Linked DNA regions of Anolis sagrei. The protein of the gene in region 1 interacts with the protein of each later gene in a biochemical or structural test. Links are inferred from orthologs where the notes say so. Each region holds a gene or a part of one and is shown in the gene's direction. Other genes may lie near its edges.

The links.
Region 2: the proteins of PPARG (region 1) and NCOA4 form a complex in vitro, tested with the Homo sapiens proteins (2 studies listed by BioGRID, with this or other methods). The link is inferred for Anolis sagrei from reciprocal best matches to the Homo sapiens genes PPARG and NCOA4.
Region 3: the proteins of PPARG (region 1) and NR0B1 form a complex in vitro, tested with the Homo sapiens proteins (2 studies listed by BioGRID, with this or other methods). The link is inferred for Anolis sagrei from reciprocal best matches to the Homo sapiens genes PPARG and NR0B1.
Region 4: the proteins of PPARG (region 1) and CDC34 form a complex in vitro, tested with the Homo sapiens proteins (2 studies listed by BioGRID). The link is inferred for Anolis sagrei from reciprocal best matches to the Homo sapiens genes PPARG and CDC34.

What each region holds. Positions count from the first base shown.
Region 1 is NC_090022.1:64,554,163-64,561,692, reverse strand, and holds the start of PPARG (peroxisome proliferator-activated receptor gamma), read left to right. Parts: upstream 1-4,525; 5' UTR 4,526-4,611; intron 4,612-7,530. UniProt on the Homo sapiens protein: Nuclear receptor that binds peroxisome proliferators such as hypolipidemic drugs and fatty acids.
Region 2 is NC_090023.1:159,364,652-159,371,823, reverse strand, and holds the start of NCOA4 (nuclear receptor coactivator 4), read left to right. Parts: upstream 1-4,156; 5' UTR 4,157-4,287; intron 4,288-7,172. Other genes in the region: chymotrypsin-like elastase family member 1, read left to right, coding at 1-94. UniProt on the Homo sapiens protein: Cargo receptor for the autophagic turnover of the iron-binding ferritin complex, playing a central role in iron homeostasis. Acts as an adapter for delivery of ferritin to lysosomes and autophagic degradation of ferritin, a process named ferritinophagy.
Region 3 is NC_090023.1:83,341,867-83,349,097, forward strand, and holds the start of NR0B1 (nuclear receptor subfamily 0 group B member 1), read left to right. Parts: upstream 1-4,217; 5' UTR 4,218-4,388; coding exon 4,389-5,130; intron 5,131-7,231. UniProt on the Homo sapiens protein: Nuclear receptor that lacks a DNA-binding domain and acts as a corepressor that inhibits the transcriptional activity of other nuclear receptors through heterodimeric interactions.
Region 4 is NC_090034.1:52,346,859-52,353,910, forward strand, and holds the start of CDC34 (ubiquitin-conjugating enzyme E2 R1), read left to right. Parts: upstream 1-4,047; 5' UTR 4,048-4,260; coding exon 4,261-4,437; intron 4,438-7,052. UniProt on the Homo sapiens protein: E2 ubiquitin-conjugating enzyme that accepts ubiquitin from an E1 ubiquitin-activating protein, and catalyzes its covalent attachment to other proteins by an E3 ubiquitin-protein ligase complex. In vitro catalyzes 'Lys-48'-linked polyubiquitination.

The sequences.
Region 1 (7,530 bases):
TATGGCAGTGTAGAAAGGGCCCTAAGATTATCTACTTTTAACTGGATTATGGGACAATGTAGACTCATATAATTCAGTTCAAAGCAGATAATCTAAATTATCTGATTTGATAATCTGGATTATATGGCAGTGCAGATCCAGCCTGTAAATTAGAAGTGACTTTGATCCCTTCTATACTGTCATATGGTCCAGACCATCAAAGCAGATAATCCACATTATCTGTTTGAACTGGATTATATGAGTCTATACTGCCATATAATCCAGTACACATCGGATAATCTGGATTTTATATGGCAATGTAGAAAGGGCCTTCAAAGCACACACAACAACAATGAATTAAACAATGCAGATATAAATTCTGTTTTTCCTAGCGTAACAGAAACAGAAATCACACACAATTTTCTCTCTCTCCTCTAATGGATGAATAGCTCAGTCCACTTGAGTTCAAAATACAATACTTCTAAAGCTGCTAAAGTTAGTTGTAATTTCTGGCAAGATGCCTTGTATTTGATGAGAAATGAGTGCCAGAGCTTGGGCAAGTTGTTGCTTCCAGACTGCAAATCACAACTAACTTTAGCTGCAGCAGAACCATTCTATTCTGAAAAGGGAAGAATTGATTTATTTCCTCTGGATGCACGACAAATGTGTAACACATATACATTTTTATTAAACCAGTTTTGCAGTCAAGTTTTGTATTTCCCCATTGCTCTTTTAAAGCCATAAATCCCTCCTTATTGGCCATATTTTTCCTGGTTTTAGGCTGCATCTACACTGCAGAATTAATGCAGATTGACATCACTTTAACTGCCATGGCTCAATACTATGGAAACATGGGAGTTTACTTACATCAGGTTTTTAGGCTGCTCTGCCAAAGAGTACTGGGGCCTCACCAAAGTACAACTTCCATGATTCTACAGCATTGGACCATGATAGTTAAAGGGGTCTCAAACTGCATTGTTTCTATGGTGTGTAGATGCACCCTTAGTCAACAGTAGCATGGAGGCTTGGCACCACCATGTAGCTATGGGGGCATCGGTATTTCTGGGGGTCTTCTGCTTCCATACTCTTAGCTGCTGTTCAGGAGCATCATGACACAATGTTTGTTTGTTTTTTAGTCCTGTTGGTCCTTTCTATCTTCTGTGACTTATAACTGCAACATGTTCTCTCCTTCTAAGTTCAAAGTAATAGCATTCTCACCTCACTCTTTCTGAGTAACAAGAAGGATTAGAGCAGTGGTTCCCAAGGCAACAGTGTAGTATGGTGAGGCTGTGGACGATATTTTCGTTCTTTTAGACCACTGGTTGGGAACCACAGGTTGGACCACAGGTTGGGAACCACTGGATTAGAGTCAGAGGACATTGTAGCTGCTCCGTAGAAACACAGTTACAGCCTTCAGGCACCATGGGCCCTACCACACTGCTACACCATTTTAGCATTATTATATCACCTTTACTGCCATGGCAACATTACATGGAATTCTGGGATGTGCAGTTTAGTGAAGAGCATTTACATTTCCAAGCCAGAATGCACTTGGATATCCATCAATCTTTGGGTATAGAAAAAATAACTTGATAAACTTTTTTTGCATGGTTGATAGTATAGCAAAGGTGGAAAACAAAACTGAACATTGAAAGCTCTCTCTGTGTTCTTATGAAAACATGTACAGGCAGTCCCCGAGTTACAAACATCCGACTTACAAATGGCTCATAGTTAAGAACAAAGGGTAGACAATAAAAAGTGAGCGGAATCTGCCCCTAGGAAGGGAAATCCACTCCTGAAAGAATTATCATGTGGAAAAGGGGTCTCCACTGAAGCTTTCTCACTAATTCTTGTTTCCACAACAGCTCAAATTTTTCAAAATCCAATTATCACAGAAAGTGAGGTGGAATCTTATGAACAAGGGCACAGACAGCAAAACAAACACCACATGAGTGGAGTTACACTTGAAAAAATTACCTGTTCTGACTGTCATACAAATTCAGCTTAAGAACAAACCTACAGGACCTATCTTGTTCATATCTTGGGAACTGCTTGTATTAATATCAGTACTCTTGGTTCCAGGACCCTCGTGGACACCAAAATCTGTGCCATCATATACAATAGAATAGTAAAATGCTGTGCCTGATATACGATAGCAAAATCAAATTTGCTGTTTGGGACCATTTTTACTTTGAATCCATAGATACAGAATTTGTGGGTATGAAGGGCCAGCTGTATATCTTTTTTTTAAAGGTAATTCCCCCCCCCCCCCCCAAAAAATTAGAGATAGAAAAGCCAACCAGGAGGAGGGGACTCTGTAATTAATTTACCAGAAAAATATAAACTCTTTAGACCTCTAATATTGAATTAACAATAAAAAAAACAATAGAAGACAGTAGGTGCCAAAAGCATATTTTTAGCATAGATACCTGAAAGATGATATGAATGGTGGCCAAAGCTATCTGGAGCAATGAGGAAGAAGAGCACAAGAAAAAAAGAGTAGATGAAGAATACGGAAATAAATAATTGCTGGTTACTCAATGGACTCATCATATCACTTCTCTTGAGTTTCTCCTTGAGGAGTGGAAAGCACTGTCAAACCTGATGGATCGGTCCAGGTCTGCCCTGGTTCAACTTTGCTGAGCTTCTCTTCAGACGCATCCATACTGTTGAATTAATGGACTTTGACACCATTTTAACAGCCACAGCTCAATGTTTAGCACCAGCACTCTTTGGCAGAGAAGACTAAAGACCTTGTAAAATTACAAATCCCATGATGCCATGGCAGTTAGTTTTGTCAAACTGCATGAAATCTACAGAGGAAAAGCAACCCCCCACACACTCCTGATGGTGGATGGGATCCACTGGGAGGACAAGGCATGGAAGGGAGTTGTTGCAGTGATGTTTTGGAGGGGGTCTCTGTGTGTGTGTGTGTGTGGTCCTGTACATGTCCATGCAAGCCTCAAAATAGCCCCGTAATGTTGTTTCTCTCCGACACCCTCTACATTCAGGGCCCTATCACACAAGCTTGCATTATCGCTCCACTTCAACAGCCATGGCACCATTCAGTGGGATTCTGAGATTTGGACTTTGTGATGAGTCTCAGTCAAGAGCTCTCTGGTTGACAACTCTCAATGCCATTTTCCAAACAGCAGTCCATGGGACCTTGCCGTGACAATTAAACTGGAATAACAATGCTGTAAGAGTGGCTGCATCCACACTGTACAATGATGTTTGTCACCACTTTGACTGCCCTGGCTCAATGCTATGAAATCCTGGGAGCTGTAGTTGGGTTGTGGAGCACCCAGTGAAGGTAAAAGTAACGGTTTTACCTGAGTCCCCCTTCGGGGGTAGAGAAGGGCGGGATACAAATATTTGAAATAAATAAATAAGGTTTCCCTTCATGTCCTACTCTGGGGGTGGTGCTCAATTCTGTTTCTAAACTGAAGAGCTGACGTTGTCTGTAGATGCCTCCCAGGTCATGTGGTACCTATTGATCTACTCAACCATTTGCATGTTTTTGAACTGCTAGGTTGGCAGAAGCTGGGGCTAACAGCGGGAGCTCAACCCACTCCTCAGATTTGAACTGCCGACCTTTTGGACAGCAAGTTCAGCAACTCTGTGGTTTAACCCGCTGCGCCACCAGGGGAAACCTTTACCTTTACCTTTATGGTTGGGTGAGGCACCAGCACTCTTTGGCAGAGAAAGCTAAAGACCTTGTGAAACGACAACTCCCATAATTCCATATCATTGAGCCATGGTGTCAAAGAGCATTAATTCTACAGTGCAGATGCACCTAGCAAAAGCATGGGCAAACTTGGGCCCTCCAGGTGTTTTTTTGGACTTCAACTCCTACCATTCCTAACAGCCTCAGGCCTTTCCTTTTCCCCCTTAGCCGCCTAAGGAGTGACCTAAGGCTGTTAGGAATGGTGGGAGTTGAAGTCTAAAACACCTGGAGGGCCCAAGCCGGCCCATGCCTGACCTAGCATCAGGTGGAAGTCTACACCTGTTTCCACACATGTGCTCCCCACGCTGGATCTGTGTGTGTAGACTCTCACACCAGGCAGTTTCAGTGCTATTGTCCCCCTTTTCCCCCCAGAGTGCATCTTCACTTGTAGAATGAATGCAGTTGGACGCTGCTTGAACTGTCCTGGCTCAAGGAAGATGCCTTCTCTGCCCAAGAGTGCTGGTGTCTCACCAAACTACAACTTCTAGGCTGCCATAGCGTGGAGCCCTGGCACTTCAAGTGGGGTCAAGCGGCATGACTGACTTCAGCAATGTGTGGACTGGGTGGGAAGTGAACGCGAAAACCTTCCAACTTTCCAACTCCTAGGATCCCATAGCCTGGCATGTTGCCTTCCTTCTCGGGTGTGCTGCGCCTCTCTCAGCCCATGCCCATGCCCATGTCCTCCTCGGTGGCTTCCTCTCCAGCGAAGCGCCAGCCTCGGTCCGCCGCCTCCTCCTCCCCTCCTTCCTTCCCGGGGGGGGGCCGTGTCCGTCTCCCGGGCGTGGGCTGGGCTGGGGGGCGGGGCTGGGGGCGGGCCCTCCTTCCTGCCCATAGGGCGGCCCGGGTGGGGAAGCCCAGATGCCACCAGGCGAGGAGACTTTCCCCAGCCGCGCTGACAGCACCAGGTCAGTCCCAGAGAGAGCGGAGAGGGAGAGGGAAGGAAGGAGGGCGCTCGGGTCCGGCACTCTTGGCCAGAGGAGGGAGGCTCCAGACCACACGTCAAACTGCATGAACTCTCTGTGGAGTGAGAAGGGGGCAAGCCCGTGGCGAGGCAAGGGGTGAAGAGGGCGCATCGGGAGCCAGGAAGGGGGCTTCTCGCTGGGGAAGGGTCCCTCTTGGCCAAGGAAACCCTCTGTGCTGGCACTCTTTGGGCTCGCCATCAGTCCCAAGGGGGCTTGGGCATCAGATTGGGGTTTGGTTTCACTTTATCCGAGGAAGAGAGACCCAGGACTCATTGAATGGAGCCGGTGGAGAGAAAGGGGAATCTTCACGATCATCCTCTCTTTGGGTTGCTGTAAGTTTTTCGGGCTGTACGGCCACGTTCCAGCAGCATTCTCTCCTGACGTTTCGCCTGCATCTATGGCAGGCATCCTCAGAGGTTGTGAGTTAAGACCTCTGAGGATGCCTGCCCTAGATGCAGGCGAAACGTCAGGAGAGAATGCTACCGGAATATGGCCATACAGATCAAAAAACTTACAGCAACCCAGTGATTCCGGCCATGAAAGTCTTTGACAGTACATCCTCTCTTTCTCAATCTTTCTTTCCTTCTCTCTCCCTCTCTCACATGCCCACCCAAGCCCCCCTCTCCAATTCATAAATATAGTTGTGTCAGGGCTTGAAAGTGAAGTTCAAGGACTTAGTTATACACAAATAGTGTAATGGGGGCTTCTCCTTTGGAGGCTTTTAAACAGGGGCTGAACAGGGACAGTAAACGTAAAGGTAAAGGTTTTCCACTGACATTAAGTCCAGTCGTGTGCAACTCTGGAGTTTGGTGCTCATCTCAATTTCTAAGCCAAAGAGCCGGCATTATCCATAGACACCTCCAAGATCATGTGGCCAGCATGACTGCATGGAATGCCATTACCTTCCCACCAGAGTGGTACCTATTGATCTACTCACATTTGCATGTTTTCAAACTGCTAGGTTGGCAGAAGCTGGGGCTGACAGCAGAAGCTCACGCTGCTCCACAGAATCGAACCTGTGACCTTTTGGTCAACAAGCTCAGCAGCTCAGTGCTTTAACCCACTGTGCCACTGGGGGCTCCTGGTGTCCAGGGATACTTTGTGCTTTTCCTGCATGGCATAGGGTTGGACTAGATGGCCCATGTGGTCTCTTCCAACTCTATGATTCCAAGGGCCCTTCCACACAGCCCTCAATCCCACAATACCAAGGCAGGAAATCCCACATTATCTGAGTGCGGACTCAGATAACCCAGTCCAAAGCAGATATTGTGGGATTTTCTGCCTTGATATTTGGGGATATAGGTCTGTGTGGAAGGGCCCTCAGTTGGAAAGGCGTTTTGTGGCTCTTCAGTCTTGTCCAGGAGAAGCTTCAGAAAGGGGAGAGGGAAGGGTTCAGTGCCCACTCCAGCCACAGGTGTGTGGCCTACCTTTGCATCCAAATCCAGGGATGAATCTTGTTCCCAGTAGATGCAGGGATCTTCATAAGGGTGCACTGTCTGTTCATCAGGGAAAGATGGGCTTCTCCTGTAGGGGCCCATCCACACAGCCATATAACCCAGAACATCAAGGCAGAAAATCCCACAATATCTGCTTTGAACTGGCTTATCTGAGTCCACACTGCCATATATTCCAGTTCAAAGCCCCTGGTGGCACAATGGGTTGAACCCTTGTGCCGGCAGGACTGAAGACCAACAAGTCAAAGGTTCGACTCCAGGGAGAGTGCGGATGAGCTCCCTCTGTCAGCTCCAGCTCCCCATGCAGGGACATGAAAGAAGCCTCCCGCAAGGATGGTAAAACATCAAAACATCCAAGCGTCCCCTGGGCAACATCCTTGCAGACGGCCAATTCTCTCACTCCAGAAGCGACTTGCAGTTTCTCAAGTTGCTCCTGATACAGAAAAAAAGCAGGTAATGTGGGATTTTATTCAGGGACCTAGGTTGGGCTGTGCCACCTGGAGCAGATGTGTTAAGTTTCCTTTCACAAAACATGTGTCATAGTTATCTATATTAAAGTGGGACAGATTGACTTCTGGGATAGGTCCACTGTGTTCTCTGCCACAACCTCAAGACACCTATATCTGTGGTGATGCTGCAGGGGAGGAGGCAAGGTGATGGAAAGGAAGCCTTTTGAAAAGACTGGTGGTTTAAAAAAAATGTGTTTCCTAACCACAATCGAGAATGTTAATGTATACACTAATGTTCCAAGCATAATCCTGCCATAACAGATATTATACATTGTGAAATATATGATGCCTCGGTGTCATATCCCGAGTCTGCAGGAGTGTTTTGTAAGTTTCCCACTGTCATTTCTCCCAAGGGCATTCTGCACTGGAGACTGCGCGTTCCTGTTAGTGTTGTAACTTTGAGGCAATACGTATGAGTTATGATCCAACTTGGTAGCAAGGTCATAATTTTATACAGTTGTGCCACGTGGAAGTTTCCTTTTGGTACCATTTTGAGGAGTTTCTTTCTAGGGTCCCTTCCACACAGCTGAAAAAAATCCCACATCTGCTTTGAACTGGAATATATGGCAGTGTGAATTCAGACAACCCAGTTCAAAACAGATATTGTGGGATTTTCTGCCTTGATATTCAGGGTTATATGGCTGTGTGGAAGGGCCCTGATGGCAGCTGATGTCCTGAAGGCAGCTGATGTCCTGAAGGTACTAGATCCTTTCTAATCTCAGATGATAAGCAGGGTCAGCTCTGGTTGGTACTGGGGTGGGAGACCACCAATGAATAACAGTTACTGCAAGCTGTGTTTTGGAAGACTGACAGATTGGAGGTTTGAATCCGGGGAGAGCCTGGATGAGCTCCCTCTGTCAGCTCCAGCTCTCCATGCAGGGACATGAGAGAAGCCTCCC
Region 2 (7,172 bases), on another chromosome or scaffold:
ATGCCAAGTGCAGAACAAGCCCACTGTCTTCACCAGGACTTCCGCCTACATTTCCTGGATTGAAGCCGTCAGGGTGCAGGACTTTTTTTTGTAAAGACAGGAGGCCAGGAAATCCTAGAAATGTCAATAAATAATATATATATAAATTTCAAAGTATGTTTGTTTGCCTTTTCGTACCACAAAGGTTGTTGCAAGGTCAAGTGGCCCTCTGTAATGTCACTAGATTGGCTGTTGCTAGGTGTAGTGGTCTTATGTGATGTCACTGGGAAAGAAAGGTGACATGTGTATAAGGGAAAGGGAGGAGACATTATTGCTGTGGAGACATTGTGAAGTAGGCCTTCTCACAGCTGAAGAAGGGAGAAATTAGGCTGGCAGTGATCCCAATTATGCCTGGGTAACACTGGGTATATATGCTAGTCTACATATATAAAAATGTTCTGTGCATAATGAGGTGCTCCGTACAGAGAGAGGTCAACCCTCCTGTACAAGGAGCTCCACTGGCTGCCGTTCATTTTCCGGTCCCAATTCAAGGTGCAGGTGCTTACCTACAAAGCCCTAAATGGTTTGGGACCTGCCTACTTACGTGACCGCATCTCCGTTTACGAATCCAAAAGTTTCTTCCGATTATCTGGAGAGGCCCACCTGCATCGCAAGCGCGCCTGGTGGGGACGAGAGACAGGGCCTTCTCTGTGGTAGCCCCCCGACTCTGGAACTCTCTCCCCAAGGATATCAGACAAGCCCCAACGCTGGCTGTCTTTAGGAAGAGCCTGAAGACCTGGCTGTTCCAGTGTGCCTTTCCAGAATAGGAAACTCCTGGCCTTAAGTCCCAAATGCACCTTGTTAGAGACTCAGGATTATCTGCACATTGCACCTACCTCCAACACCCTTCACATTTTACCTGTCAAGCTCAGCACTTTTAATTTTGTCCATTACATTTCGCCCGGCCTTTGGTTTTAATTGTGTCATGATGTTATTGTTTATTGTCTTATTGTCTTGCTTGATGGTTTATTATTTGCTTATGAGTTTATTGTGTATTGTATGCTGTGTTGTCGGCGGCCTTGGCCATTGTAAGCCGCATCGAGTCCTTCGGGAGATTTTGCGGGGTATAAAGTTAATAATAATAATAATGATGATGAGTACCTTAAAAACAAAAGAACTAATGAACAAAATAACACCAAAGTTGGCAACAAAATATCTCACAACAAAAGGAGTGACCACCACTCAGAAAATTATGATTTTGTCATTTGGGAGTTGTAGTTCTTGGGATTTATAATTCACCTACAATCAAAGAGCATTCTGAACTCCACCAATGATGGAATTGAACCAAACTTGGCACACAGGACTCCCGGACCAACAGAAAACACTGGAAGGGTTTGGTGGGCATTGACTTTGAGTTTGGGAGTTGTAGTTCACCTACATCCAGAGAGCACTGTGGACTCAAACAATGATGGACCTGGATCAAACTTGGCATGAATATTCAATATGCCCAAATGTGAACACTGGTGGAGTTTGGGGAAAATACACCTTGGCACTTGGGAGTTGTAGTTACTGGGATTTATAGTTCCTCCTTCCAAGTTGCCCAGTCCTCTGTGTGCCCAGGGGGGGGGGGAGTCTCTCATTGGGTATCAGCCATTGGCTGAGGTTCTGGGTTTGAGCCTGCCACTTTTGGACTCTTGCTTGCTGAGGTGTTCCAGCGAGCGTCTCTGTAGATCTTAGAAAACTATTTCTTGATTTAAGTCGTTAGCGTGCTGGCTGATACCCAAACAGGGGATGAGCTGGAGATGTCTCTGCCTTGGTCCTTTCACTATTGGCTGCTACTTCCCGGCGGATGTATGGTGGTGCAATACCGGCTAAGCAGTGTAGTTTCTCCAGTGGTGTAGGGCGCAAACACCCCGTGATAATGCGGCATGTCTCATTAAGAGCCACATCCCACTGTTTTAGCGTGGTGAGATGTGTTCCACACTGGGCATGCGTACTCAGCAGCAGAGTAGCACAGCGCAAGGGCAGATGTCTTCACTGGACTGACGAATAAACAACAACAACAACAACAACAACAACAATAATAATAATTAATGCTCAAGGCCCCAAGTTGCTTATTTATTTATAGTGTCAGGCAACTGAACAGTTCTATTACATTTTTGACAGAACAAACAAACATACAAAAGACACAGAGTTTGCAAGCTTGGTAGTTGATTAGATGTCCTTTGACCAGTATCTGGCCACTTGGAGTACTTCTGGTGTTGCCGCAAGAAGGTCCTCCATTGTGCATGTGGCAGGGCTCAGGTTGCATTGCAGCAGGTGGTCTGTAGTTTGCTCTTCTCCACACTCGCATGTTGTGGATTCCACTTTGTGGCCCCATTTCTTGAGGTTGGCTCTGCATCTCATGGTGCCAGGGCGCAGTCTGTTCAGCGCCTTCCAAGTCGCCCAGTCTTCTGTGTGCCCAGGAGGGAGTCTCTCATTGGGTATCAGCCATTGATTGAGGTTCTGGGTTTGAGTCTGCCACTTTTGGACTCTCGCTTGCTGAGGTGTTCTTGCGAGTGTCTCTGTAGATCTTAGAAAACTATTTCTTGATTTAAGTCGTTGGGGTGCTGGCTGATACCCAAACAAGGGATGAGCTGGAGATGTGTCTGCCTTGGTCTAGGCATGTAGCCGGGGGGGGGGGGGGGGGGGCTTGGGGGCTTCAGCCCCCCCCCCCCCGAAATTCTCATGGTGGTTCGCAAAGGCATCATTTAAACTGTTATGTTTATTCATATCATGATCTGATCACCATACTCAATATATCCCATATGCATGGGGGTATTGGGGTAATGATACAAATGGTTTGCTAGGGTAGACCCTCTTTCACTCAGACTCAGCCCCCCACGCCTGAAACCGGTGCAATACCGGCTAGACCAGTGGTTCTCAACCTTCCTAATGGCGTGACCCCTTAATACAGTCCCCCATGTTGTGGTGACCCCCAACCATAATATTTTTTCATTGCTACTTGATACCTGTCATTTTACTACTGTTATAAATCATAATGTAAATATCTGATATGCAGGATGCATTTTCATTCACTGGACCAAACTGGGCACAAATACCCAATACACCCAAATGTGAATGCTAGTGGGGTTGGGCGAGGATTGATTTTGTAATTTGGGAGTTGTAGTTGCTAGGATTTTTAGTTCACTTATAATCAAAGAACATTCCGAACTCCACCAGTGATGGATTTGAACCAAACTTGGCTCCCATGACCAATGGAAAAAATTGGAAGGGTTTGATGGGCATTGACCTTCAGTTTGGGAGTTGTAGTTCACCTGTATCCAGAGAGCACTGTGGACTCATGCAATGGTGGATCTGGACCAAACTTGGCATGAATACTCAATATGCCCAAATGTGAACACTGGTGGAGTCCGGGGAAAATAGATCTTGACATTTGGGAGTTGTAGTTGCTGGGATTTATAGTTCATTACAGTCAAAGAACATTCTGAACTCCACCAATGATAGAATTGGCTCAAACTTCCCACATGGATTCCCCATGACCATAAGAAAATACTGTGTTTTCTTATGGTCTTTGGCGACCCCTCTGACACCCCCTCGTGACCCCCTCAGGGGTCCCGACCCCCAGGTTGAGAAACACTGGGCTAGACACTGTAATTTCTCCAGTGGTGTAGGGCGCAGACACCCCATGATAATGCGGCATGTCAGTGGTGAGACGTGTTCCACACTGGGCATGCATACTCAGCAGCAGAGTAGCATAGCGCAAGGGCAGATGTCTTCACTGTGTCTGGTTGTGATCCCCAGGTTGTGCCAGTCAGCTTTCGTATGATATTGTTTCTAGCACCCACTTTTTGCTTGATGTCCAGAAAGTGCTTCTTGTAGGTCAGGGCACGGTCCAGAGTGACTCCAAGTTGTTGATGGATTTTTTTATGTCGGAGCCGGGATTCGAACTCGCGTCCTCCAGAGTTGTAGCCCAACGCTCAAGCCATGCGCCACGCGGGCTCCCTGCTGACGTGAAAGAACGGGAGGAGGGGGAGGACAGGAGGAGACACGTGGCCAGACCCAGATTTCCGAAAGCGCGAGTGCGCATGCTCCGAGGTTTCCTCTCTCTTTTCGTCACACGGCTGCTTCCAGGGGGCGAGCGAGAGCCGTCCCTGAAAGCCTCTGGGCCCGAAATCTCGCGAGAGTGTCACAGAGAGTGGGAACGCCTCCCTTTTCCGGCCGGAGCCTGCTGAGGTGAGGCGCCTTCGCCGTCCTTCCGAGGCCTGTCGCGCTTTCTAGCCGGACGGAGCCCGTCATTCGCCCTCGGTGAGTCAGGCTGCAGGCCTGGGGATGTGGGTTGGTTGTGTGGAGGCCCATTGTGGCCCATTGCCCCGCTGGACCGGCGCTGACATTTCCCACAAGGGCCAAAATGGCTCCTCGGGGCAGGCATTTCCCCCATTTTAAAGCCCAAATGTGAAGACGTTGGATGTAGTCCAGGTGGTGTGGTGCATTTATCATGACACTGAATGGCAAAAATCCCATTGTTAGTCCTGGCTTTGGGGTTTTTAGTGCTGCCACTTCCATCTTTTTTGTGGGGTGGTGTGGGGGGATATTTTTCCCCCTCAAAGGGTATGATATTTATTATTTACTAGCTGTCCCCTGCCACGCGTTGCTGTGGCCCACATGGGGGTTCTGTGTGGGAGGTTTGGCCCAATTCTATCGTTGATGGGGTTCCGAATGCTCTTTGATTGTAGGTGAACTATACATCCCAGCAACTACAACTCCCAAATGTTAGGATTCTATTTTCCCCAAACTCCACCAGTGTTCACATTTGGGCATATTGAGTATTCATGTAGAGTTTGGTACAGATCCATCATAGTTTGAGTCCACAGTGCTCTCTGGATGTAGGTGAACTACAACTCCAAAACCAAAGGACACTGCCCACCAAACCCTTCCAGTATTTTCTGTTGGTCATGGGTGTTCTGTGTGCCAAGATTGGTTCAATTCTATCGTTGGTGGGGTCCAGAATGCTCTTTGATTGTAGAGGAACTATAAATCCCAACTACAACTCCCAAATGAAAAAAGCAATTTTTTTGAGTGAAGGACATACATTATTATTATTATTATTAAACTTTATGTGTACCCCGCTAGCATCTCTCGAAGGACTTGATGCGTCTTACAAAGGCCAAGGCCTCAACACAACAACAGACAATAACAATACAATGCAAAGCAAATTAAAAAGATATGCAATAACGAAAACAAAACATTACACTATTACGCAATAAAACCAGGGCCGGGCCAATGAAGGGTACAGGTTAAAAAAGTGCTGGGTGTGAGAGGTGGTATGTTGGGATTCTGGGCAAGTGCAGTGTGCAGAGACTCTTAAACTCTAATAAAGTGCTTCTGGGACATAGTGCTGGGGGTTATCCTATTCCGGAAAGGCACATCGGAATAGCCAGGTCTTCAAGTTCTTCCTAAAGACTGCCAACGTGGGTGCTAGTCTAATGTCTTTGGGGAGGGTGTTCCAAAGTCGGGGGGGGGGCAACCACAGAGAAGGCCCTCTCTCTCATCCCCACCAAACGAGCCTGCGACGGAGGTGGAATCGTGAGCAGGGCCTCTCCGGATGAACGGAGGGAGCGGGTGGGTTCATATACGGAGATGCGGTCACGCAGGTAGGCAGGTCGCATTGGGTTGTTAGGTGTCTTGTGTCCAAATTTGGTGTCAATTCGTCCAGTGATTTTTAAGTTCTGTTAATCCCACAAACGAACATTACATTTTTATTTATATAGATCATTTATTTATTTATTTACAGTATTTGTATACTGCTTTTCTCACCCTGAGGGGGACTCAAAGCAGTTTACACATAAGTAATGGCAAAAATTCAATGCCAGTACAAACAATTACAATTATACACTACAATTAGATATAAATCAAATTAAAAAAATACATCCATGAGCAATAAAACAATCATTAAAACAATAAAACAGTCTCGTCCATCAAATCACCGTTCCAGTCATTGCCTTTCCAAAATGCTGCATACATTTACTTCTACTGCCCGAAGGCCTGGTCCCAAAACCATGATTTTAATTTTTGTCTAAAAGCCAGGAGTGAGGGAGCGGATCTTACCTCATTTGGGAGTGTGTTCCATTGGGGGGGGGGGGGGGCAGAGCCAAGAAGGCTATGTCTCTCGTCCCCACCAGTTGCATCTGTGCTGTTGACGGGAGCGAGAGCAGGGCCTCCCCGGATGATCTTAGATTACGAGGTGGGACGTAGGGGTGGATGCGTTCGGACAAGTAAGCTGGGCCAGAACCATATAGAGCTTTATAGGTCAAAACCAGCACTTTGAATTGGGCTTGGAGATGGACCGGCAGCCAGTGGAGCTGGCATAGCAAGGGGGTGGTATGCTTCCTATATGCCGCCCCAGTTAGTAATCTGGCTGCCACCCGTTGAACTAGCTGAAGTTTCCGAACCGTCTTCAAAGCCAATCCCACGTAGAGCGCATTGCAGTAATCTATTTGGGATGTAACCAGAGCGTGGACCACCGTGGCCAGATCAGATTTCCCAAGGTACGGGCTGTATCCCTCGTGGTGATAGGGATACAGGAAGGGGGTAGGAATGTTATAATTACTGTTAGTAAATTAATAAAGGTTGAAACGTATTTATTTATTTTGTTGGCTCATTGAAATGGCTAAGTTGTTTTAAACATCCTTTTCAAACAGTCCAATATCTAAAGACAGAAATGGCTAAACACCCCAGGAGAGATTTTCCCAGAATTAGATTTGAACAGCTGGACACAATGGTCAAAACATTGTATCTGTGGCACATCAGAGCTAGAAGATATCACACCTGTACTGTTTAGTTGTAAGTTGTACAAGAAAGAGAGAAACCAAACACCAGGATTCTTCTATTAAAAATACATTATTATTGGCCAGCCGGAATGCTAAAATAACATACAAAACGGCCCATTAACTGTATCAAGCAACTCAGCTGAGAACTGCGTATTTGGAGTTGATTGGGGTAAACTGTAGGGGTTTTATTTATCATGTCAGGAGCAAATCAAACAATTGTATTGCATTTTTAAACAAACAAGCAAACAAACAAAACACAAAGTTTGCAAGCTTGGTAGTTGATTAGATGTCCTTTGACCATTAGCTGGCCACTTGGAGTGCCTCTGGTGTTGCTATAAGAAGGTCCTTCATTGTGCATGTAGC
Region 3 (7,231 bases), on another chromosome or scaffold:
ATAATGTCTGATTCATGTGTTGGCACTAAATCCATTCACAACAAAACATGGATTCCTTCTTAGGCTTGTAGGAAAAGAAACACGCCTTGTAGGAAAAGAAACAAGAAACAAGAATAATTTGCTCCAGATTATGGCCAAAATTTTAAAGGAACTGTTCAAAATGTTGACCCTGTTTTGGGGATAGTGTTCAGTACCTTGGACAGCTCCTCCCAATGGAAGCACTCAAGCACTACTTAGCTTGGTCTCTTCCTACAAACCAGAGAAATGTTGGTTTTCTTCTAGGGTTTGTTTTTCTGTCTCGCTCATGGATCACATGACTGAGTGTCAACTTTTGTCACATTCAGACATTAGGTTTATTTAGCCACCATGATTGGAAGTGAGAGCAACTGGAAAGCAAGAATGGATTCTTATTGAAACATGTCTTTCCATGACTTCTGGAGACACTCAATTAAAGTGTAAATCAAGAAAGTAGATGTGAAACAGAGTTACCATTTTGATCAAAGACCTGGTTAAATGAAAATAACATTGTTATTCCTTTTCATAAGGATAAACTGGTACTAAATATTGTACAATTGTGATGGTTCAATTTCACTGCTGTCTGAAAGAAAAACATATCAAAAACTGTCTCCTGCATCAGTGGTGTATGTGTATTGGGTGCTTTCATTTGTTGCCCATTTTACAACACAGAAAAAAGCAAAAGCTCGCAAATAATAAATAACAAGAGAAAGAAATACTGAATATGTTATGTTCCTGGTTAGGGAATATCCTGCACCACCTCTTGCTCTTCATACTCTGATTACTTGGATTTCTGCTTAAAATATATCTTTTCTCTACACATGCAGATTCAAATCAATGAAATAGTGGGTACACACTAAACATTCTTTATCTGAAATGTTTGGGAACACAAGTGTTGTGCATTTAGGATCCCCCCCCCCTAATTTTGGAATACTTGCTTATGCTTAATAAGTTACTTCAAAGATGGGAAACAAGGCTAAGCATACCCATTTGTTTATCCTTTCACCCACCCCTAGACATGTTGTCTGATGGTAACTGTATATCATATTTTAGTACAATTGTACATTTATTATGTTTACTGTCTAATTTTTGATAATGTGTTATTATTTTTGATGTAGATGTGGATTTGCTTTTGGGATTTGGGAAGTTGGTTATTTTTTGTCTTTTTTCAGCTTCTTACAGCACTGAATGTTTGCCAATATCTGTTGCAAACTGCTGCATGTCCATTTGGGGAGATATAAATAAAGTTAATATTAGTAGTAGTAATATTAGTATACATTGCACCACGAGAAAGCAAAAATGTAACTTGTTTAGGTCTCCTTATGGAAAATTTGGGACTATTTTGCAATTCTTCTTCAGACTCTGGCAATGCACTTTAGCGCTGTTAGACTGTTGATATCATCATCACATTATTTTATATAACGTCACTTATCATTTTATACTTTCAATTGCACTTTAATGATTTAGATCCTTTTGATGTAAATGTGCATAATGAGGTTTGTGTGTCTCTATCTAGCCTTTGGTTGTCATTTAAGGGTTGCTGTGAATTTTCCCGGCTGTAAGGCCATGTTCCAGAAGCATTCTCTCCCGATGTTTCGCCCACATCTATGGCAGGCATCCTCAGAGGTGTGAGGTCTCTTGTAAACAAGGCAAGTGGGGTTTATATATCTGTGGAATATCCAGGGTGGGAGAAATAGATACAGAAACCTCACTTGCCTAGTTTCCAACAGACCTCGCAACCTCTGAGGATGCCTGCCATAGATGTGGGTGAAACATCAGGAGAGAATGCTCCTGGAAAACGGCCATACAGACTGGAAAACTCACAACAACCCAGTGATTCCAGCCATGAAAGCATTGGACAACAAGTTGTCCTTTAAGTTTATATATTAAGTTTATACTGATGCTATTTATTGGTTGTTTTGATTTGTTTTGTTGATCACTTTCGGCATGGAATGTTTGCTGGTTTTCTTCTGGAAACTGCCTTGAGTCCCCATTGGGAAGATAGGGTGGGTTATAAATAAATTATTGTTATTGCTACTGCTACTGCTGTTCTTCTTCTTCTTCTTCTTCTTCTTCTTCTTCTTCTTCTTATTATTATTATTATTATTATTATTATTATTCCGGAGAAGGGACACTGCTTGGGTGTAATGTAATACAGGCATGGACAAAGTCCAGTCCTCCAGGTGTTTTGGACTAGAACTCCCACAATTCCTAACAGCCTGCTGGCTGGGTTGCTATGAGTTTTCCAGTCTGTATAGCCATGTTCCAGAAGCATTCTCTCCTGATGTTTTGCTCACATCTATAGTAGCCAATCTCAGAAGTTGAGGGGTCTAGACAAGTGGGGTTTATACACCTGTGGAATGTCCAGGGCAGAAGAAAGAACTCTTGTCTGCTTGAGGCAAGTGTGAATGTTGCAATTGGCCACCTTGATTAGCATTTAGTAGCTTTGCCTGGCTGATTGCTGCCTGGAGGAATTCTTTGTTTGGTGATGTTAGCTGGTCCTGATTGATTCTTGTCTGGAATCCCCTGGTTTTTTTTAGTGTTCTTTATTTACTGTTCTGATTTTAGAGTTTCTTAATACAGTAGAGTTTCGCTTATCCAACCTTCACTCATCCAAGGTTCCGTATTATTCAACGCAGTTTGCCTTCCGCCTGGATCCACAGCTGTTTCAATACATTACGATGTTTTGGTGCTAAATTCATAAATACAGTGATGTTTACATAACATTACCGTGTACTGAACTGCTTTTTCTGCCAATTTGTTGTAAAACATGATGTTTTGGTGCTTAATTTGTAAAACCATAACGTAATTTGATGTTTAATAGGCTTTCCCTTAATCCCTCCTTATTATTCAACATTTTCGCTTATCCAATATTCTGCTGGCCTGCTTATGTTGAATAAGCAAGACTCTACTGTACTGGTTGCCAGATTCTGTCCATTTTCATGGTTTCCTTCTTTCTGTTGAAATTGTCCACATGCACACACACACACACTAGCCATCCCCTGCCAGGCATTGCTGTGGCCCAGTTTGGTGATCTGGAAAATAAAGTAACGAGAAAGTGTTGGTTTCTAATATGTGTAATTTCTTTATGCTTGTGGGTAAACAGTATTTATTCTTGTTTCTTTGTCAGTGTTGATGTAGAGATTGTCTGGTTTGCCTACTCTGGAACATGCAACATATAATTGTCCTTCTTTAGGGGTCCCTGTCAAATCTATGATACTATATCTGTCATATACAAATATGTGTGTGTGTGTGTGAATTGTATCTATCTATCTATCTATATCTATGGCTGGATGGCTCTTTGTCAAGAGGGCTTTATGTTTTCTTGCCCTGGTGAAGGGAGTTGGGCTGGATGGCCTTAAGGCAGCATTTCTCAACCTGGGGGGTGGGATCCTTGCAGAGGTCATAAAGGGGTGCCAGAGAGGTTACCAAAACCATCAGAAAACACAGTATTTTCTGTTGGTCATGGGGATTCTGTGTGGAGAGACTGGTTCAATTCTGTCGCTGGTGCAGTTCAGAATGCTCTTTGATTGTAGGTGAACTATAAATCCCAGCAGCTACGACTCTCAAATGTCAAGGTCTATTTTCTCCAAACTCCATCTGTGTTCATATTTGGGCATATGGAGTATTCGTGCCAAGTTTGGTCCAGATCCATCATTGTTTGAGTCCACAGTGCTCTCTGGATGTAGGTAAACTATAACACCCAAACTCAAGGTCAATGCCCACCAAACCAACAACTACAACTCTCAAATGAGAAAATCATTTTTTTTGTCAATTCGTCCAGTGGTGTTTGAGTTTTGTTAATCCCACAAACGAACATTACATTGTTGTTTATATAGATGAGAAAGGGGTTCGTTTCCCGCCTGCCCACCCCATCCAACCGAGGGAAAGGCTGCAAAGGAAGCCTTGGAAGAAGCGCCAACTCCGCGCCGACACGGAAGGCAGCGTTGGGCGGAAGCGCCTTGGTGTGGCGGGGAGCCGGAGGGGGCGCTTCCTTCCTTCTTTCCGGCCGCTTGAACTTGGCGTGGGTCTCCCTCCCGTTCAGCCCTTCGCGGAAAGCGCGCGACGTGGGACGGTCGGGCGGAAGAAGCGGGAGGGCATTTGGAAAGGGACGGCGACAACACGCCCTCCTCTCCCGAGAAGGAGGGGAGGGGGGGGAGAGGGTGGAGTCCTGGTGGGGGGGGCTTTCTTCTTCTCCTTCTTCCCTCCTTCCCTCCCTCCCTCTCTTTCTCTCTCTTTCTCTCCTCCTCCCCGTCCCTTCCTTCCAGCCAGTCGGCAGCGTCTGCGCCTTTGAACTCCTGCGCGCTATAAATAGCCCCGAGGGCGGGCGTGCGGGCGTGCGGGCGAGGCGGCTTTCCCGCTCTTTGCCGGCCATGGCGTGCCTGGACCGCTGCCGCTGCTGCACGGACCACCGGCGCCAGGGCAGCATCCTCTACAACATCCTCAAGAGCCAGGAGCACCGCCAGCACCAGAAGGAAGAGGGGGAGGGCGAGGGGGAGGCGGCGGGCCAAGGCGGGGAGGCGCTGGCGGGCCCCCCTCCGCTGCCGGCCCCTCCGCTGCCGCTCCCCGCGAGGCCAGGGGCCGGGGCGGCGGGCTGCTCGTGCGGGGCCGGGCGGCGCGTGGCCCTGCGGAGCCCCCAGGCGGCCTGCAAGGCGGCCTCGGCGGTGCTGGTGAAGACGCTGCGCTTCGTCAAGAGCGTGCCCTGCTTCCAGGAGCTGCCGCTCGACGAGCAACTGGTCCTGGTGCGCAGCTGCTGGGCGCCGCTCCTCGCCCTCGGCCTGGCCCAGGACCGCGTCCACTTCGAGACCGTGGAGAGCGCCCGGCCCAGCATGCTCCAGCGCATCCTCACCACCCAGCCGCGCCCCCACCAACACCCCGGACAGCCCCAGGAGAAGCCCGGCCAAGCCCAGCCCCGCCACCACCGCCACCAGGGCGACGGCGACGACGAGGAGGAGGAAGAGCGGCTCCCGCCCCAGGACCCAGAGCCCCGCTGCCCCCAGCTGCCCTCGGCGGGGGAGATCCAAGCCATCCAAGGCTTCCTGGCCAAGTGCTGGAGCCTGGACATCAGCACCAAGGAGTACGCCTACCTCAAGGGCACCGTGCTCTTCAACCCGGGTCAGTGGGGCAGCCCTGGGGGCACGCTTTTGGGGAAGGGTCCAGGGTTCTCTCCCCCAACCTCTCCGCCTACTTCTTCCCCCTCTCTTTCCCCCCCTCCCTTTCTCCTTCCTCTCTCCCCTTCTCCCGTCCCCTCACTCACTCCCTCTCTCTCCCTCTCCCCTTCTTCTCTTCCTTACCTCTACTCCTCTCTCCCCTCCATTGCTCTTTCTCCCACTTCCCACCTTCCTCTCTTCTCCTTCTCCTCTTCTTCTCATCTTTCCCTCTACTCCTGTTCCCCCTCTCTCCTCTCCCTCGCTCTTTCTCCCTCTCCCCACCTTCCCCTTTTCTCCCTCTTCCCTTCTTCTCATCTTTACTTCTAGCCTTTTTTTTGCCTTCCTCCACTCTCTAACTCTTTTCCCTCTTCCCCCCTTCTTCTCATCTTTCCATCTATTCCTTTTCGTCCTTTCTCCCCTCCCTCTTTCTCCCTCTCCTCATTTCCCCCTCTCCTTCCTCTCCACTTCTTCTCATCTTTCCCTCTACTCCTTTTCTCCTTCCCTCCATCACTCTTTTTCCCTCTCTTCGCCTTCCCCTCATCTCCCTCTCCCCTTTTCTCCCTCTCTTCCCTCCCTTGCTCCTTTTCCCTCTCCAGTTTTCCGCTCTTCTCCCTCTCCTTCTCCTCTTTCCCTCTACTCCTTTTCTCCCTCTCTCCCCTCCATTGCTCTTTCTCCCTCTCCCCGTCTTCCTCTCTTCTCTCTTATCCCTCTCCCCTTCTCATATTTCCTTCTATTTCTCTATTGGGTTGCTGTGAGTTTTCTGGGCTGTATGGCCATGTTCCAGAAGCATTCTCTCCTGACATTTCACCCGCATCTACGGCAGGCATCCTCAGAGGTTGCATTGTTTGTTGGAAACGAGGCAAGTGGGGTTTATATATCTGTGGAATAATGTCCAGGGCGGGAGAAAGAACTCTTGTCTGTTGGAGGCAACTGTGCATGCTGCAAGTGATCACCTTGATTAGCATTGCAAAGCATGTGGACAATTTTAACAGAAAGAAGGAAAGCATGAAGATGAACAAGATCTGGTTACCAGCATTTTAAAAAATCCTTTAAAATCACAACAGTAAATAAAGAGGAACACTCAAAAACAGGAGAATTCCAGACAAGAAACAACCAGGGCCAGCTAATCACCTCCCAACAAATGATTCCCCAGGCCAAAAGCAGCCAATCCTTGATGCTGCAAGGCTTTTCAGTGCTAATCAAGGTGATTAATTGCAGCATTCACACCTGCTTCAAAAAGACACAAGTTCTCCCATCCTGGACATTATTCCACAGGTGTATGAACCCCACATGTCTTGTTCCCAACAAATCTCACAACCTCTGAGGATGCTTGCCATAGATGTGAGCGAAATATCAGGAGAGAATGCTTCTGGAACATGGCCATACCGCTCAGAAAACTCACAACAACCCAGTGATTCCAGCCATGAAAGCCTTGAACAACACATTTTCCCTCTACTCCTTTTCTCTGTCTCTCCCCTCCCTTGCTCTTTCTCCCTTTCTACTTCTTCCCCTCTCCCTCCCTTTCCTCCCCCCCCCCCCATCTGACCATTTTCTTTTGCTCCTTAGGCAGCTCCTGGGCAAGTCCTGCTATTCCTGCAGCTTGACCCTGCTTTATCTGCCATGGCTCAGTGCCACGGAATCAATGCTCGATGCTAATTGATTTACCTAAGGCAATACTGCTCGGTCAAGTGGAGAACAGTAGGAAGACTTTGTTACAGGTGGATTGATTCAATTAAAAGTCTCCCCTGGTTCTGAGTTTGCAAGAGTGGAGTTGAGCTGGAGTCCTTGGAGGTTTCTTATCCAGTGTATCATATGGTAGAATGAATGCAGTTTGACACTGCTTTAGCTACCATGGCTCGATTCAATGGGGTCCTGGGATTTGTAGTTTGCTGAGACAGCAGCATTCTTTGGAAGAGATGGTTTGTAAAACTACAACTCCCAGAATTCCATAGGATTGATTACGTGATTTTATCAAGTGTTTTTAAGGTTTGATATGTTCTTAATTATTGTTTTAATATATGCATTTATTTTATTATATATGTATATTTTACATGGCATTAAATTGG
Region 4 (7,052 bases), on another chromosome or scaffold:
CATTTGGGAGTTGTAGTTGCTGGGATTTATAGTTCACCTACAATCAAAGAGCATTCTGAACTCCACCAATGATGGAATTGAACCAAATGTGGCATACAGGACTCCCATGACCAACAGAAAACACTAGAAGGGTTTGGTGGACACTGACCTTGAATTTGGGAGTTGTAGTTCACCCACATCCAGAGAGCACTGTGGACTCAAACAATGATAGATTTGGACCAAACTTGGCACGAATATTCCATATGCCCAAATATGAATATTTGGAGTTTGGGGGAAATAGACCTTGACATTTGAGAGTTCTAGTTGCTGGGATTTATAGTTCACCTACAATAAAAGAACATTCCGAACCCCACCAACGATAGAATTGGGCCAAACCTCCCATACAGAACCCCCACAACCAACAGAAAATACTGTATTTTCTGGTGGTCTTTGGCAACACTTCTGACACCTCCTCACAACCCCCTCCCCCCGGGGTGCTAACTCCCAGGTTGTGAAATGCTGCCTTAATGCCATCCAGTCCACCTCCCCTCACCAGGACAAGAAAACATAATCAAAGCCCTCCTGACAGAGAGCTATACAGCCATAGATATAGATATACATGATTCACACACATATATGTATATGACAGACATAATACCATAGATTTGAAAGGGACCCTTAAAGAAGGACAATGATATGTTACATGTTCCAGAGTAGGCAAACCAGGCAATCTCCACATCAACACTGACAAAAAAACAACAAGAAGTAGTTTACTCACAAGCATAAAGACATTACATATATATTAGGGGTGAATCCAGCAAAGACGGAGATCCTATGGCTGGGTTGACTGGGCAATGGGGACATCCAGTTGCCTACCCTGGATGGCAGGGCGCTACGCCCGTCATCATTGGTAAAGACTCTAGGAGTCCTTTTGGACCCTCTGCTGACGATGGAGGCCCAGGTATCCGCCGTTAGCAGAACCGCCTTCTTTCATCTGCGGCAGGCTAGACGGCTGGCCCCCTACCTGTCCAGGGACGACCTAGCTACGGTGATCCAGGCCACGGTCATCTCAAGACTGGACTACTGTAACGCCCTCTACATTGGCCTTCCTCTGTCGGTGATCCGGAAGCTCAAGTTGGTACAAAATGCAGCTGCTCGGCTTCTTGCGGGAATTCCGATGAGATGCCACATAACACCAATCTTACTACAGCTGCATTGGTTACCAATTGAGCACCGGATCACTTTCAAAGTGATGGTACTCACCTTTAAGGCCTTGCATGGTTTGGGGCCGATGTATCTGAGGGACCGCCTCACCCCCTACCAACCCCAGAGATCCCTCCGTTCTGAGGACCAAGATCTATTGGAAGTCCCCAGTGTCAAGACCTTTCGTCTAATAGCAACCAGACGCAGAGCCTTCACAGCAGTGGCACCATCACTCTGGAATACTTTGCCACCTGAAGTCCGTGCCTTGCGGGACTTACCAGCTTTCCGCAGGGCATATAAGACATACCTGTTTCGACAGGCTTTTAATGTTTGATATTGCTATTTTTAAATTGCTTTTAAATTTTGTTAGATTTTAGCCATTCTTGTGAGCCGCTCCGAGTCCCAGGGGAGTGGCGGCATATAAGTTCAAATAATAAATAAATAAATAATAAATTAGAAACCGACACATTCTCATTACTTTATTTTCCAGATCACCAGACTGGGCCACAGCAACGTGTGGCACGGGATGGCTCGTAATATTATTATTATTATTATTATTATTATTATTATTAACTTTGTATTGTCGAAGGCTTTCATGGCTGGAATCACTAGGTTCTTGTGGGTTTTTGTGGGCTATATGGCCATGTTCTAGAGGCATTCTCTCCTGACGTTTCGCCTGCATCTATGGCAAGCATCCTCAGAGGTAGTGAGGTCTGTTGGAAATAGGACAATGGGTTTATATATCGTGGAACGGCTGGGGTGGGGCAAGGAGCTCTTCCCTGCTAGAGCTAGGTGTGAATGTTTCAGCTGATCACCTTCATTAGCATTTGAAGGCCTGCCTGAGCCTGGGAAAACCTTTTGTTGAGAGGTGTTAAGATGTGCCTGGTTGTTTCCTCTCTGCTGTTTTGCTGTTGTAATTTTAGAGTTTTTTAATACTGGTAGCCAGATTTTGTTCATTTTCCTGGTCTCTTCCTTTCTGTTGAAATTGTCCACATTCTTGTGTATTTCAATGGCTTCTCTGTGTAGTCTGACACAGAGACATTGTTGGTGTGGTCCAGCATTTCTGTGTTCTCAAATAATATGCTGTGTCCAGGCTGGTTCATCAGGTGCTCTGCTATGGCTGACTTCTCTGGTTGAAGTAGTCTGCAGTGCCTTTCATGTTCCTTGATTCGTGTTTGGGCAATACTGCTGCGTTTGGTGGTCCCTATGTAGACTTGTCCACAGCTGCATGGTATACGGTAGACTCCTGCAGAGGTGAGAGGATCCCTCTTGTCCTTTGCTGAACGTAGCATTTGTTGGATTTTCTTGGTGGGTTTGTAGATTGTTTGTATGTTGTGTTTCCTCATCAGCTTCCCTATGCGGTCAGTGGTTCCCTTGATGTATGGCAGGAACACTTTTCCTCTGGGTGGAAACAACCAGGCACATCTTAACACCTCTCAACAAAAGGTTTTCCCAGGCTCAGGCAGGCCTTCAAATGCTAATGAAGGTGATCAGCTGAAACATTCACACCTAGCTCTAGCAGGGAAGAGCTCCTTGCCCCACCCCAGCCGTTCCACAGATATATAAACCCATTGTCCTATTTCCAACAGACCTCACTACCTCTGAGGATGCTTGCCATAGATGCAGGCGAAACGTCAGGAGAAATGCCTCTAGAACATGGCCATATATCCCAAAAAACCCCACAAGAACCTATTATTAACTTTATTTGTACCCTGCTAGCATCTCCCGAAGGACTCGATGCGGCTTACATAGGCCAAGGCCTCAAAACACAACACAACAATACAACACCTAAAGCAAATTAAAAACAGTTAAAGCAATATTAACAACAAGCAATAAACAATACATCAAGACACTATAAAACTGGGCCGGGCCAGAGTAATGGGTATTATTATTATTATTATTATTAACTTTATTTGTACCCCGCTAGCATCTCCCGAAGGACTCGATGCGGCTTACACAGGCCGAAGCCTCAAAACACAATACAATAGAAAACATAACACAAAAATAACAAAGCAAATCAAAACAATAAGCAAAAATAACGACAATGGCAGTACATCAAGACATTATTAAAACTGGTTCGGCCGGCGCAATGGGGTACAAGGGTTAAAAGTGCTGAAATGGCAGGAGGTACGTAGGATTAAAAGTGCGGTGTGCAGTGACGATTAGTTATGCTAAGGTGCTACTAGGACTTGGGGTGGGGATTCCTAGTCTGAGAAGGCACAACGGAACAGCCAAGTTTTTAAATTCCTTCTGAAAACAGCTAGAGTAGGGGCCTGTCGGAGATCTTTTGGAAGGGCGTTCCAAAGTCGGGGGGCCGCCACAGAGAAGGCCCTGTCCCGTGTCCCCACCAAGCGCGCTTGCGACGTGGGTGGGATCACGAGCAGGGCCTCCCCAGATGATCGGAGCGAGCGTGTGGGTTCGTAGATGGAGATGTGGTCACGCAGGTAGGGTGGTCCCAAACCGTTTAGGGCTTTGTAGGTGAGCACCTGCACCTTGAATTGGGCTCGGAAAAGATTAAAAGTGCTGATGTGACAGGAGGTATGTAGGATTATAGGGTAAGTGCAGTGTGCAGCAATCTTAGTTCTATTAAAGTGCTTCTGGGACTTGGTATTGGAGATTCCTAATTCTGGAAAGGCACAATTTTGGTCTATTTTACGAAGCGGGCACACACGCCTAGGAAACTTCTTCTGTGGGTTTGTTTCCTTCTGCCTCTTTGTTTTTCCTCCTCCACTTCCGGCTTCCTGCCGCAGGCTTTCTTTCTGGGAGGTGTAGTCTTCGGCTCCTTCTAGAGTCCCCGCCCCCTCCTACGGTCCCGCCTCCTATTGGCGGAGGCCTCGGCTGGCTCCTCCCCTTTCCCCCGCCCTCGGGACTACGCATCCCAGGCAACCCCGCTCGCGGCGGCGGCTGGTTGGCTGGCTGGCTGGTTGCTCGCTCGCTCTCTCTCAGCCTTGTTCTTCCCCTCAGCCTCCTCCGGCGGTGCTGTTCCTTCCCCAGCACCTACTGCCGCGCTCTCGTCTCCGCAGCCGGGCCGCCCCCGTCACGCGAGTCCCCGGCTTCGTTCGCGGCCTGCTTTGGAGCATGGCACGTCCGGCGGTGCCCAGCTCGGCGAAAGCGCTGCTCCTGGAGCTGAAGGGCCTTCAGGAGGAGCCCGTGGAGGGCTTCCGCGTCAGCCTGGTGGACGAAGGCGACCTCTACAACTGGGAGGTGGCCATCTTCGGACCCCCCAACACCCACTACCAGGGAGGCTACTTCAAGGCAAGCAGGCCTCGCACCCAGGGCTGGAGTGGATGATGATGATGATGATCAGGGAATATTATTTATTACCATTATATTACATAAGAATATTTATTATTATTATTATTATTATTATTAAGGAATATTATATTACACTGGAATATTTATTGTTATTATATTACATAGGAACGTTTATTATTATATTACATAGGGATATTAGTATAATATTATTAAGGAATATTATATTACATAGGAATATATTTTATTATATATAAATATATATATATAAAATTACACACCTTTATTTATATGTAACAAATTATTATATTGCATAGGAATATTAATTATTCTATTACATAGGAATTTTTGTTATTGTTATATTACATAGGAATATTTATTCAAAGGTAAATTACACATCTTTCTTTAATATATTTCTATTATATTTATATTCGTTTATATATATATAATTATATATATATATATGTATATATATGTATATATATATTTTATTCTAAGGTAAATTAAACACACCTTGCTTTATTTCTATTTAATTTATATTCTTATTATATTCAAAGCTAAAATATTATTAAATATATATTTAATATATTTAATATATTTATTTATATTCTTATTATATTCATATATATATATATATATATATATATATATAGGATCCCCTGGTTGCGCAGTGGGTTAAACCCTTGTGCCGGCAGGACTGCTGACCGAAAAGTCGATGGTTCGAATTCAAGTCCCATAGGCAAACCTCTCCATCACTGTTTATTTTTATCTCTCTTTTTAGTCTAGTCCCCTTTAGATGCTATTGTATAACCCCACTTCTGCTTTGAATCATATTATACTAATTCAGTGGGTCCCCAAGTGTTTTGGCCTACAACTCCCAAAAATCTCAGCCAGTTTACCAGCTGATAGGATTTCTGGGAGTTGAAGACCAAAACATCTAAAGACCCACAGATTGAGAACCACTGTACTAATTCCTAACCCACCCCTCCCATCTCATTTTCATAAAGACAAGACAAAAGCATGTTTACACCAATGATGAGTTTTGGGTCTTTATAATTCTAATCAATCCTATTGCGATGGGCCTATTATGAGTAACAAACATAAACATTAAAACAAAGCACCAAAACAACAGACTCTCGCCTGACCTCTTACTCACTGCCTGCTGACTTTTAATCAATTCCCTTTAAATGTGGTTGTATAATCTCACATCTGCTTCAAATAACATTCTACAATTTCCCGCAATAAACAAATACTAATTATCATAACTAGTGAATTAGTAAGTCCCAAATTTGCTGGTCGTTAGGCAAGTATTTCTCCTTTGTTGGCCTAGTTCGTTTGTCCAGATGCTACATTGGCTGTTGTTATACTATATAACAAAACATTTGGGGAGGGGGCAGGAGCAGGTATGGATCTGTTCTGGTTTGAATGTGTGATTTCCTGTTTAATTGTGTGGTCCTTACTTTGTAAAGAGTTGTTCTACTCCAGAAACTTTGTTTCCGTGGCTGCCACAACGTATGTTGAATTGGTTGAATCTCAGTGATATATTCATTGTATAACTAGAGAATGCTTTGAGCCACTAGAGCAGGCATGGGCCAACTTCAGCCCTCCAGGTGTATTAGACTTCAACTCCCACAATTACTAACAGCTGGAGGGCTGAAGTTTGACTGTGCCTGCAGTAGTGGGATGGGTGTCCCTTCCAAACTGATGCCATTTGCCCTGGGGTTGATCTGAGCGGCCAGGAAGTCCGACCGGCTGGACGACCTGATGACGGGGCAAAAAAAACGCCGCTGGGGAGGTTCTCAGTCGCAACTTCACTTCTGGAGGTAGGAAAACAGGTCCCAGTGACTCACCTGACCCTATATACCTTGGTAGCCCAACTTGCAAGGCGGGTCCTGAGTGCACGCCTTGGGCAGACATTGGCCTGACCTCCTAACCTAGAGGAAGGCTCCTGAAATGGCATTGTTGTTGTTACATTATTGTTATGGTTGTTGTTACCATTATCTATTTATATCTTCCCACCCAGTGTGCAATAATAACATGAAAGCACAGTGGGTCCTGCCAAAGTAATACTGTCTGCAGGTAGTCCTCAAGTTACAAACAGGATACGTTCTGTAGGTTTGTCCTTAAGTTGAATTTGTTTGTAAGTTGGAACGAGTACATTTTCTAAGTGTAACTCCAGCAATAAATAAATAAATCTATATGTGTGTGTGTGTGTCTGTGTATAGGATCGCATAGAGGAGGATGAACCCCCCCGTGGTGTTTGTGTTACTGTCTATTTGTTTGTAAGTCGAAACAAGTACATTTTCTAAATGTAACTTCAGCCAAATTTATATATATATGCACACGTATATGCATATCTATATGTATATTTAGCTTAGGATCACATAGAGGAGGGTGAACACCCCTGTGGTGTTTGTGTTACCTTCTGTGCCCCTGTTCGGAAGATTTCACCTCACTTTCTGTCCCTGTGAGAATGGGAGTTTGGGAAATTTGGCTTGTTGTGGAAACAAGGATCGAGGATAAAGCTTCAGTGGAGACCCCTTTCCTCCCGATAATAACTCTTCCAGGAGTAAATTTCCCTTCTGGTAAGTAGATTTCTCTCACTTCCTGTTGCCTCA